Macaca mulatta: one gene and its partners. The protein of the gene in region 1 purifies or fractionates together with the protein of each later gene. This does not show direct contact. Links are inferred from orthologs where the notes say so. Each region holds a gene or a part of one and is shown in the gene's direction. Other genes may lie near its edges. The genes, in order: DMWD, USP12 and USP46.

Region 1 (4,218 bases):
TGAGTCTGGCTCTGTCCCCCAGGCTGTAGTGTGGTGATGTGATCATAGCTCACTGCAGTCTTGATCTCCTGGGCTCAAGTGATCCTCCCACCTCAGCCACCTAAAGTGCTGGGATTCTGGGATTCCAGACGTGAGCCATTGTAGGATTTTTTTTTTTTTTTTTTTTTTTTTTAAGTGTGAGATGCCCTTGGGACACTCTAAGGAGAAATCGTAGAGGCCATTGACTACGTGAGACTAGGAAGATCTATGATGGGGCTGGGTGACTTCAGCAGACATGGGGAGCACTGGCTATGAGTAGGAGCTGTTGGGATCAGTGGGAGACTTTGGGTTACGAGTGGATCACTGGGACACTGGGGCACCGTGGGGATCAATAGAATTTGAGAATCAGAGGTGGGTTTTGGAGGACAAGTGAGGTTGTTGAAAATAAGAAAGTCGGGCCGGGCGCGGTGGCTCAAGCCTGTAATCCCAGCACTTTGGGAGGCCGAGACGGGCGGATCACGAGGTCAGGAGATCGAGACCATCCTGGCTAACACAGTGAAACCCCGTCTCTACTAAAAAATACAAAAAAAAAACTAGCCGGGCGAGGTGGCGGGCGCCTGTAGTCCCAGCTACTCGGGAAGCTGAGGCAGGAGAATGGCGTAGACCGGGGAGGCAGAGCTTGCAGTGAGCTGAGATCCGGCCACTGCACTCCAGCCTGGGCGACAGAGCGAGACTCCGTCTCCAAAAAAAAAAAAAAAGAAAGAAAATAAGAAAGTCATGGAAATATACATTGGAGGTTGGTGGAAAATATGAAGGATGTTTGGGGTTAGCATTAATCAATAGTGGGTCAGAGGAAGTCCTTTGAGTTGTGTGGGGACACAGGGATTTGGCGGGTCACCAAGGGTGGGGAAGAATGGTAGCAGATGCTGTGGTCATTCAGGGATTTGAATATGTCAGTGGGAAACATTGGCGGTCAGGGGAGTGTATGTTGGGCGTCTAAGGAGAGACCAGGGTCACTTGGGGTCGGCTGTGACTTCATGGGAAGGCTGGACTATGGATGAGGGCTTCTTTGGTGGGGGGGTCCCTCCGTTGCTAGGCAAACGGTTCCCAGGGCGCGGTTGCTAAGGACTTGAGCTTTCTAACTGGCCACGCCTCTTTCCATTGCGGGCTCCGCCCCCGCAGTCAACCACAAGTCGGTCACAGGCACAAAGACCGCGCCCACCTTCTCGCCCCGCCCACAGTCCCAGCACCGTTACCCGAGCGACCGTGGGGGTTCGTCCCGCCTCCGGACCTGGGTGCCAATCGAAGAGGCGTTGCCGGGGCGACGACTCCACCTTTTCCGGTGCGGGCCCGCGGCTTCCGGCAGGGGGCCCGGCTGCGGGCGGCAGTCCGGCAGCGGCGGGGCCCGGGGGGCGCCCAAGATGGCGGCGGGCGGCGCGGAGGGCGGCTCGGGCCCCGGCGCCGCCATGGGGGACTGCGCGGAGATTAAGTCCCAGTTCCGCACGCGCGAGGGTTTCTACAAGCTGCTCCCGGGCGACGGCGCCGCTCGCAGGTCGGGTCCGGCTTCCGCCCAGACCCCGGTGCCGCCCCAGCCGCCGCAGCCCCCGCCCGGCCCTGCCTCTGCCTCCGGTCCTGGCGCTGCAGGCCCTGCGTCGTCCCCGCCGCCCGCAGGCCCCGGGCCTGGGCCCGCGCTGCCCGCCGTGCGCCTCAGCCTCGTGCGCCTCGGGGAGCCCGACAGCGCCGGGGCCGGGGAGCCGCCCGCCACGCCCGCGGGGCTGGGCTCGGGGGGAGACCGCGTCTGTTTCAACTTGGGCCGTGAGCTCTATTTCTACCCAGGCTGCTGCCGCCGTGGGAGCCAACGGGTGAGCGGCCTGCATCGTGGGGCCCTGGGTGCTGAAAGGATGGACGTTCCAGAGAACTGATAGGAGGGTGCCTGAATTGATATAGGGCCCTGAGATAGGCATCCTAAATGTGATGGACGTCCTGGGGCAACAGCATTGGAGGGAGTACAAGATTCTGAAATGCGATGGGAGGCCCGCGGGGTGCTGGGCAGGCATCTTTGAGGTGATGGGGGAAATCCCCTTTACCCCCGTTATGCGTAGGGGTTCTGGGATGGCGAGTATTGGACATGATGGGGTATCTGAGATGAGGTGGGATCCCCCGGGTTCTGGGGTGGCAGGTATTCTGCAGGTAATGGGGAATCATGAGGTGATGCAAGCTCAGAGGTGATGGAGAACCCAGTATTGCATCCTGGAGGTGTTGGAGAGGGGCTTGAGATTGAGCCCAGGAATGTGGAGAAGTCTAGAAGTGATGGAGGCCTTGAAGGTAATAGGGGATCCAGAAGCTGAATGGGATCCTAGAGAAAATTGGGGTCTGGAGGTCATGAGGGTCCTGGAGGAGATAAGCGTCTGGAATCTGATGGGAGCTCTCAAGGGGATGAGAGGCTCTGGCAGGCGAATCTGCAAGTGTGATTCAGGGCATCTCTAAAGCGGTGTGGTGAGAACCTTGGGAAACTTATGGTGGCCCCAGAAATGATGAGGATCCTCAGAGCCCTGAGGTAGTAAATGGGCCTAAAATGTGGGAGACTATGAGTTTTGATGGGTCCCTGAACTGTGGCGGTTTAGGGATTCCAAAGTGAAGCGAATACTAGGATGTTAGGCTTTAGAGTCCTGGGAATTTGGGTGACCTTGAGGTTTGGGGGTCTTGGAATAGTGTGGTACTAGGTCCTAAGGGAGTTGCTGAGGTTATAGGGTGGAGTGGTGGGGCTAAAAGGAATCGGAGCTCAGGAACTGTGTGGCCCCAGAACCCTGAAGTTGTGGACAAGGGTGTTTCTGAATTAGGGGTGACCCAACTTGGGGGAGGCACTGTGGTCAAGGGGGATCCTTACTATCTTTTTTGCTACTCCATCTGTGATTTAGGTCCCCTTCCCGTCTGTGGTTGCCCCCTCTTTCCCAATCCACCTACTCACCTCCCCACTTCCCTCTGGGTTCTAACCCTGCTTCCTCTTAGTGGTTTCCCCCAACCTCAACATCCTTTTCCTTCCCCTCAGTGGCATACACCATTAACTCCTTTTCTCCCACCCCTCAAGTCCATTGACCTCAACAAGCCAATTGACAAGCGGATCTACAAGGGCACCCAGCCCACCTGCCACGATTTCAACCAGTTCACTGCTGCCACCGAGACCATCTCCCTGCTGGTGGGCTTCTCAGCGGGTCAGGTGCAGTACCTCGATCTCATCAAAAAGGACACCAGCAAGCTGTTCAATGAGGAGGTGATTGCAGCCCCCAGAACCCCCAACTGCTCTGCCTTCTCACCTACCCACTATATGCCATTAGGTTTCAGCTGCCTGGGGACCAGTGTAGGCCTGAGAGGGGCAGGACCAGGGAGAGATGAGAATGGGGTGACAGCAGCTAATGACAGCTGCACTGTACCCAGGCCCTATGCTGTGTTACCCCTGTGCTGAATACTTTACTCCTTGAGTTTTTTTTATTTATTTATTTATTTTATTTATTTTTTTGAGACGGAGTCTCACTCTGTCGCCCAGGCTGGAGTGCAGTGGCGTGATCTCCGCTCACTGCAAGCTCCGCCTCCTGGGTTCATGCCATTCTCCTGCCTCAGCCTCCCAAGTAGCTGGGACTACAGGCGCCCACCACCACGGCCAGCTAATTTTTTGTATTTTTAATAGAGACGGGGTTTCACCGTGTTAGCCAGGATGGTCTCAGTCTCCTGACCTCGTGATCCGCCTGCCTCGGCCTCCCAAAGTGCTGTTGTTACAGGCGTGAGCCACCATACCCGGTTTTTTTTTTTTTAATTGTAATTGTAATTTTTATTGTTTTTAATTTTTTTTCCTTTTTGAGGCAGAATCTTGCTCTGTCACCCAGGCTGGAGCACATTGGTACAATCTCTGCTCACTGCAACCTCTGCCTCCCCAGTTCAAGCAATTCCCCTGCCTCAGCCTCCTGAGTAGCTGGAATTATAGGTGCCCACCATCATACCTCGCTAATTTTTGTATTTTTGGTAGAGACTGGGTTTCATCATGTTAGCCAGACTGGTCTCAAACACCTGACCTCGTGATCCACCTGCCTCGCCCTCCGAAAGTGCTGGAATTACAGGCGTGAGCCACCGCGCCTGGCCACTCCTTGAGTTTTCATCAACCAGTGGATGCAGAAGTGTGCTGCCCATTTTGCAGATTAGAGAATTGAGGCTAGTAAATAAGTTGGGACTTAGTTGATACCCTTG
Region 2 (3,635 bases), on another chromosome or scaffold:
CTATTATTTTCCTTTGCCTATTTTTTAAATTGGTTTTTTCTTTTCTTGTTTTGTAAAGGGTTTTTTTTTTTTTAATATTCTGTATATTAAGCCTTTACATAGTCTGGATATTAATATGCAAATAATTCTCCTTGTTTGTCACTTGTCTTTATTTATGTTGACTTTGCCATACAGAAGTTCATAATTTTTACGTAGTCAGTCTTTGATGTGTTTTGTATTTTATTCAGTAGCAACAACAATGTAGGTTGAGCATCCGTAATCCAGAAATCTGAAACTTTTTGAGCTGCAGGATGCCACATGGGTGGCTGAGGTAGTAACAACTTTACTTTCTCATAGTTCAGTGTACACAAATTTAGTTCCCTGCACAAAGTTTTTAAAAATACTATATAAAGTTGCACTCCATCGGGGGCAACAAGAGTGAAACTCCGTTTCAAAAAAAAAAAAAAAAGTACTATATAAAGTTACCTCCAGACTATAAGGTGTATATGAAACAAATGAATTTCATGTTTAGACTTGAATCCCATCCCCAAAATATATCATTATGTGTATGCAAATGTTTTCAAATTTGAAGCAGTCTAAAGTCCCAACCACTGCTGCTCCCAAGCATTTTGGATAAAGGATACTCAACCTGTAGTGATACTGCCAATATTGTTACTGTGGTGGTTGTTGAACAGAATACAAAACCTATTGTTGTATTCTAAGCCCTTCTAATCTTTCTACCAGCCTTGTGAGGTGTAGGTACTGCTGTGAGCCCCATTTTTCAGATGAGGAATTATGGCACAGGGAGGTTGAATAAGTTGCCTATGCCACACGTGCAGTTAGAGGTAGAACCATAGCACCAACCCAGACAGCCTTGCTCTAGCAGCTGTGTCCCCCACCCCCATAAATAGCTTCACTCGTTCCCTTTCTGTTTTTACAATAACTTTGCAAAGAATGGTATTCTGGATTTTTTGTTGTTGTTGTGTTGTTTTGTTTTGTTTTGAGACGGAGTTTTGCTCTTGTTGCCCAGGCTGGAGTGCAGTGGCGCAGTCTCGGCTCACTGCAACCTCCACCTCCCAGGTTCAAGAGATTCTTCTGCCTCAGCCTTCCAAGTAGATGGGATTACAGGCATGCGCCACCACGCCCAGTGAATTTTTTGTGTTTAGTAGAGACCATGTTGCTCAGGCTGGTCTCAAACTCTTTACCTCAGGTGATCACCTGCCTTGGCCTCCCAAAGTGCTGGGATTACAGGCATGAGCCAGTGAGCTCAGCCTGCTTTTTTTTTTTTTTTTTTTTTAATTTACCATGGGATTGAACATTTTCTCATGTTTCTTAGTCTTTTGATTGTTTTTTTCTTATCAATCAATTGCAAGTCTGTTGCCCACTTTGGTTTTCTTTTATATGAGATTTGCTTTTATATGTTGAAAATGTTAATAATTTCCAGATTTCACTTTTTTTTAACTTTTTAAAAGATTTCTAATACATAGAACTTAATTTTATATAGTCATATCTGTATCTCTTCTAAAATGTAGTTGTTAATTCCTTTTATCTTAGACTTTCCCTAAATTTTTTTCTAAATTTGTATGCATTCATTTTTAAAATGTAAAATTACCTATTTTAAAATGTAAAATTACTCTTCTGGAATTTATTAAATGTACATTGAGAATCTAAAAATAAAATGTCCTAAATAGATAGGTTTTCTCAATGCATTTTGTTGACCAATTCATGTATGTGGGCTCACACTGGGCATTACTTTGTGTGTGGCATGGTGGAGTCAGGCTGCCCAGTTTGAATCCTGGCTCTGCCATTTCTTGGCAGTGTGACTGTACCCTCTCTGGTCCCATTTTCATGTTTAAAAATAAAGTTAGTAACAGTATTACATGGTTGTTGGGGATCCAATGAGATACTGCCTCTGAAGTCCTTACTTCTGGGCCACTGCGCTCCAGCCTGGGTGTAGCCATTTTCAGGCTTTATCTTTACAAAGTGCCCAGCAAGTGGGTGTTGGACTTACTGTTCTTGGTAGAGTGGTGTATTGCCAAGCACAGGGTAAAGTGCACTTGATGTTAGCACCACCAGTATTTCAATTATATTTACTCACTTGTGTAACTGCAGGAAATGTTTCTTGGAATTACAAAATCTCACATTTGGAAGGGACTTGAGATTACCTAGATTACATAGATAATTCTTGATAACATGATTCTTAAACCTGACTCTGCATTAGAGTTAGTTGGAGGAGCTTTGAAAAGCCCCACGTTCTGGCCTCACCCCTTACCAACTGAATCAGAATCCCTGGGATGTACGGTTCAGTAATTTATTTTTAATAAACTTTGTGGTGGGTCTTAAGCAGTTGGCTTGGCATTGGCAAATGGTTGTCCAATTTCTGCATTAAAGCTTGCCACGTTGAAATATTTGTGGAATAATAGGTTAGGTAAGCTAATAAGCAATTTCTTCTTAAATTCTCAGTATCTGTTTTGCTAATTATGAGGATAGGTTTTGCCCTTTTCTCATGGGTCAATTAGTAGTATGTTTAAACAAGATTTTCATTAATTTTACATTTATTTTCCCCAAATACAGATAAAAGTTTTAGATGTGAAAGTTATTTATTTGTTATACATTACAAAAACCTTGTGCATTTATATTTTAGTTTTGACCCAATACTAGATATTCTTTTATAAATGGTTTTTTTATGAAGTTTTAATTCTGAAATAATTATCTAATGTTATGTTTTTATTTTCAGAGCTTTTTGACAACTACATGCAACAAGATGCCCATGAATTCTTAAATTACCTGCTAAATACAATTGCTGATATTTTACAAGAAGAGAGAAAGCAGGAAAAACAAAATGGTCGCTTACCTAATGGTAATATTGACAATGAAAATAATAACAGCACACCAGACCCAACGTGGGTTCATGAGATTTTTCAGGGAACATTAACTAATGAAACCAGATGTCTTACTTGTGAAACTGTAAGTATATCATACAATTTTGTATAGAGAAAAATTGAATCATTACGTTAAAGGTTGTTCTTTGAGAAAGAGAAGAATGGAAGATGAACTTGAAAGTTGTAATTCTTAAATATTGGAGTTAAAGATGGGTTTTTCAGTTAAAAGGACTCCATCTGTATTCTTAATGTAATGTTGCTTATTGACAATGAATACCTGAGGTGATAGAAAGATGTCGTAGCTTGAACTGTTTGATTTTCTTTCAGTTTAGGAGGCCACAGACCATGTTGTGAAAATTATGTCTTAGGACAAAATCTCATAGGATCATACCGATCAGGGAGGCATACTAATTTGTTTTTCCTTTTTCTACAATTACCTTTAGTATCCATTGTTGGAATTAAAAACTAAAGCATACAGTGTCCCTCAAGGAGGGGAAGATACCCCACTTGCTGTACACTTTGTAAAGATGAAGCTTGAAAATCGTTACACCCAGGCTGGAGTGCAGTAGCCTTGACTTCCTGGGCTCAAGCAATCCTTCCATCTAAGCCTCATAAGTAGCAAGGGCCACCAGCACGTGCCACCATGCCCAGCTAATTTTTGAATTTTTATTTTTTGTAGAGACGGGTCTTACTGTGTTGCTCAGGCTGGTCTTGAACTCCTGGGTTCAAGCAGTCTTTCTGCTTTGGCCTCTCAAAGTGCTGGGATGACAGGTG
Region 3 (4,196 bases), on another chromosome or scaffold:
ATTTGGAAATAATATTTAGGTTGAAAGACTTAAGCAGGAATATTACTTCTTATGTGCACTGGAAAACACAGTGACATGACTCCCAAAACCTTCAGTCAACGAGTCTGTCTTACTGTTTCCTCCCCAGATCCTAGGGGGTATTAGCAATCAAGGGCTCTCAAATGTTTACTCTTGGTTAGATAAAATTTATCTTCAACTAATTTTTCTTCTGATTCAATTTGTCATTAAATATATTGATTTAAGAATTTATCACGCATCTCACTTGTACAACTTCTCCCATGAAAGCATCGAATTGCAACTTTGTATGTGTAACTGTTTCACACATTCAGAAACCGGCCCCTTCAATTCGCGTGGACCTATCTGCTAAGTGGTGCACAGACTCACCCTCTGAACCCACAGACACGACCTTTAATGCGGGAAATGTGCATGATCCCATACAGCGTCCATCTCAACAATTGGAGGCTGGGCATCCCTGAGAGGGGTATGCCTGCCTTGAAGATATGGAAAAGTTTTGTTTTCGTTCCTTCCGCTCCTTAGTGCTTGCGCGGAACCGGGACGTCTCCTTTGGACCCGCTAATGTTACAAGCCGCCCAAGCGCGCCGCTGCTGGCCTCCGCCCAGACCCGGATTCCTCTCGCCTCCTGGCGCCCTTTCTCGGGCGCCCGGCCCGCGGCTGGCGAGGGCTCTCTGACCGCTCCGGTGTCCTCGCCCCATTTTACTTCTTGGGTCCCCGCCGGTGCCATCTGGTTGGAACCCTCGGGAAGAACTAAAAGTTGGACGTTGCCACCCCTACCCCTCGCCAAAAACTAAACACCGGAGGCTGCCGAGGCGCTGCGGGAGGAAGGCGACAAGGAAAAAGCGAGGACGGAAGGCGGCCCCGGGTTCGCCCCGGCCCGGGCCTCCCGCCTCCCCACCCCGCACCCCGTGCCGTCCCCGGCTCCCTGGCTTCCCGACGGCGAGGAGGGCCGCTGCTTCCGCGTCGGAGTCGGCCAGGGGGACCTGCGGGGTGCGGCTGCCGCAGCGGCGCGCCCCGGAGCCTGGCCCGGCATTCCAGTCCGAATAGAGAGAGGCAGGGAATCAAATGGAAAAGCAGGAGGCCAGGCCGGGCGGGGAGGGAGGCGGCGCGGCGGGGCCCGGGAACCCAGCCCGGAGCGCTCGGAGCGGCCGGCTCGGACTCACGCGGCGCGCCCGGGCCGCCCCTCCTCCCCGCGCCGCCGGCCGCGGCCCAGGCTCCCTCGCTCCGCCACTCCCCGCCCCTCCGCGCTCCCTCCCCGCCCTCCCCGCGCCGCCGCCTCCTCCTCCCGGCCTCCCTCTCCCAGCCAAACTGAAAGCTGGACCCCAGGCCGCCGCGCCGCCGCCCGGCCTCCCCGCCAGCGCGCCACCATGGGCAGTCCCGGTTTCCCCTTGTAAAGATGGCGGTGAGGGATCGCTGCAACCTTTAGACTAATGACTGTCCGAAACATCGCCTCCATCTGTAATATGGTGAGTGGCCGAGCCGCCTCGGGGTCGCGCCCGACTCGCGGCGAGGCAAAGAAAGGGAAGCCCGAACTGCACCATTCGCCCGGCGGCTGGGGCGGCGGGGTCCGCGCCGCCAGAAGTTCCCGGCCGCCGAGCTGGGCGCGCGGTCGCAGCCCCCTCAGCGGCCGGGGAGGGTCCCCGAGCCCCCCGCGCCCGCCTCAGCCCCGGTACATCAGAGCCCGCCCGGCGATCCCGGGGCCCCGCTGCTGCGCCCCCGCCCTTGGGTTGCGGTGGAAGCGGCTTGAGGGAAGGGAAGCGACCGAACCTGAACGTCCCCAGGGAGGGGGTGGGGGATAAGGTGGAGGTGGGGGCACCCATCCTCTTCTTGCGGTCAAGTCGGCCTTGTTGGACGCCCAGACTGCCCTCATCTCATTTTGAGTTCAGTCCTTCAGCGGTGTTTAGAATTCACTTTGCAACACCAATTGTGTATATGGAGAAATTGGAAATGTAATAAAGCTGTAAAAAAGTGCAAAATTGTGGCTAGAGAAGTGAACTTCAGCCTGGTTTGAAAAAGCACCGTAATTTGCTCCGCATGCCTCAGTTTCCCCATCTGTGAAAAAGGGACAAGGCTCTGTAGAGGTAATATTTGCATGCCCTAAGGGTGGGGCCGGCTGTGGGCTTGGAGGAGGTCTCCAGGGTTATCCTACCTTATCCGCTGTAGACCTAGGGGAGGCTGGCGGGCATGGATACAGCCAGGGACATCACTGGGTTCTGATGCAGTCCGAGCCCATGACGCGGTGGTCACTTTAATTTGGGCTTCTCCCATTGCTTTCCCTTTTTCTGTAGGAAGAACCTCCAGCCCTTGGGTCCCCAGGGTCCCCAGGGTGGACCCTGCTGGCACCTCCACACGTCAGAGCCTTTGGGAGCTCAGACTGGAGTAAGGCATTGCTGTCCCTTGCAGGGTGAGATGATGTGTGCTTTGCTCCATTCTTTAGACTGCACCCCGCCCCCCTCCAGCCCCCTCCCAAACTGGTCCCCAGAGGCAACACGTGCTCTTACAGTGCCAGTTTGAGGAAAACCTCCCTAGAAGCTAGTAATACTGGCCCCTAAAGGGAATCCAAGGAAGCTTGATGGAGAAGCCCTGGTGTAAGGTGATCTGGCTGTCCTTCCCTCATCACATAGCTTTTTAAATCTTCTGTCCCACATTCTGTTGCAAGATCAACACATGGCAAAGGAGCATTAAGAAACCTTGTGTTAGCTCAGGGGTGGAATTGAGACCTGCTGGCTTCAGCTTTCAGCACAGTGGGACGTGCCACTGTCACGGCCAGCAGAGCAAATGCTGGGGCCTCCCAGAGTGATAGCTGCACAGGTATTGGTTGGTGCCGGGCGAATTCATACAGGGAGTGGATCCTGGAGCCTTTCTGTTTTCTCTTTTTTCATTTCTCTGCGAGGAGACAGGTTTACTCTTATTCCTGTGGAGGGGCTGCTTGTTATAGAGGTGATGCCTTCTCAGTTTCTCTCTCCTACGACCAGCTTCTGAGGGAACTGTGAATCAGGAGCAGCTTGAATACTCTTTCATGTCTGTTGGTGTGGCCGCAGGCCTAAGGATACTACAGGGTAGTTAGGCTCCGTCCCAGCCCTTGGTGGTGTTCTTGTCCAGCTTGTGTGTGGTTACACCTCTCTGTGTAGAAGCAGGCTGGAAACTTGAGAGCTAGCATGTCCCTAGAGGAAGCCAGCCCCCAACCTCCCCCCACCCGCCTCCCTCCCGCCCTCAGTGCTGTTGGGGCTTTCTGGCACACCTGGGCTGAATGTCACAATGTGTTTCAGTGAAACTCAGCTAGGGAGACAGGGTGTGGGGAGGACCTGAGAGGAGCAGGCCAATACTGCCCTGAGAGTTGACATCTCGGGTGGAGACCTAAAAAGGTACCAAATTTAGGACCATCACCCAGATGAAGTGAGGAACGAGTAATTTCATTAATTAAAGAGTCCGATGTGCCTATTTAGACGCTGTGTCTAGAGAGAGTGACAGAGTTTGGGTTCTAATGTCAGACTTTCTGGGTTCAGGTCCTGGTTCCTTTTTTTTTTTTTTTTTTTTGACAGGGTCTCACACTGTCACTCAGGCTGGAGTGCAGTGGCATGAACATGGTGGCTCACTACAGCCTCCACCTCCCAGGCTCAAGCGATTCTCCCACCTCTGCCTTCTGAGTAGCTGGGACTACAGGCACGTGCCACCATGCCTGGCTAATTTTTAAATTTTCCATAGAGACTGGGTCTCCCTTTGTTCCCCAAGGTGGTCCCTAATTCTTGGGCTCAAGAGGTCCTCCCACCTCAGCCTTCCGAAGCGCCAAATTACTGCTGTGAGCCACCATGCTCGGCAGGTCCTGGTTCTAACACATGTTGGCTTTGTGTCCTTGAACAAGTTGCCCAGTCTTAGACTTTCCTTATCTACCAAAAGGAGATGTTAATATTGTATTACTCGGGCATAGGGCCTGGTACATGGCTAGAACTCAGTGTCATTGTCAACATCATCTTTCTCATTGTTATGTCATCTACCAGGTGTTTAAAGGACAGTGGAGATCATGCCATTTCAGACCTGGTGGAAACAACCACTAATATAAACACCGCCCACGTTTAGGAAGGCTGGAGTGGGAATCCTTAACCCCGCCCCCTGCTCAGGTCACCCCCCCCCCCCGCCCCCACCGCCCCTGCCGCCCCTCCCAGTCTTCCTTCCCAGAGGAG

What was found.
Region 2: the proteins of DMWD (region 1) and USP12 purify together in Homo sapiens (affinity purification with mass spectrometry; 3 studies listed by BioGRID and IntAct, with this or other methods). This does not show direct contact. The link is inferred for Macaca mulatta from reciprocal best matches to the Homo sapiens genes DMWD and USP12.
Region 3: the proteins of DMWD (region 1) and USP46 purify together in Homo sapiens (affinity purification with mass spectrometry; 5 studies listed by BioGRID and IntAct, counting the BioPlex papers as one, with this or other methods). This does not show direct contact. The link is inferred for Macaca mulatta from reciprocal best matches to the Homo sapiens genes DMWD and USP46.

What each region holds. Positions count from the first base shown.
Region 1 is NC_133424.1:58,340,911-58,345,128, reverse strand, and holds the start of DMWD (dystrophia myotonica WD repeat-containing protein), read left to right. Parts: upstream 1-1,311; 5' UTR 1,312-1,400; coding exon 1,401-1,841; intron 1,842-3,067; coding exon 3,068-3,250; intron 3,251-4,218. UniProt on the Homo sapiens protein: Regulator of the deubiquitinating USP12/DMWD/WDR48 complex. Functions as a cofactor that promotes USP12 enzymatic activity.
Region 2 is NC_133422.1:7,181,829-7,185,463, reverse strand, and holds part of USP12 (ubiquitin carboxyl-terminal hydrolase 12), read left to right. Parts: intron 1-2,716; coding exon 2,717-2,946; intron 2,947-3,635. UniProt on the Homo sapiens protein: Deubiquitinating enzyme that plays various roles in the regulation of the immune response and inflammation.
Region 3 is NC_133410.1:80,841,732-80,845,927, forward strand, and holds the start of USP46 (ubiquitin carboxyl-terminal hydrolase 46), read left to right. Parts: upstream 1-1,351; 5' UTR 1,352-1,445; coding exon 1,446-1,481; exon of another isoform or gene 1,482-2,096; intron 2,097-2,303; exon of another isoform or gene 2,304-2,419; intron 2,420-4,013; exon of another isoform or gene 4,014-4,196. UniProt on the Homo sapiens protein: Deubiquitinating enzyme that plays a role in behavior, possibly by regulating GABA action. May act by mediating the deubiquitination of GAD1/GAD67.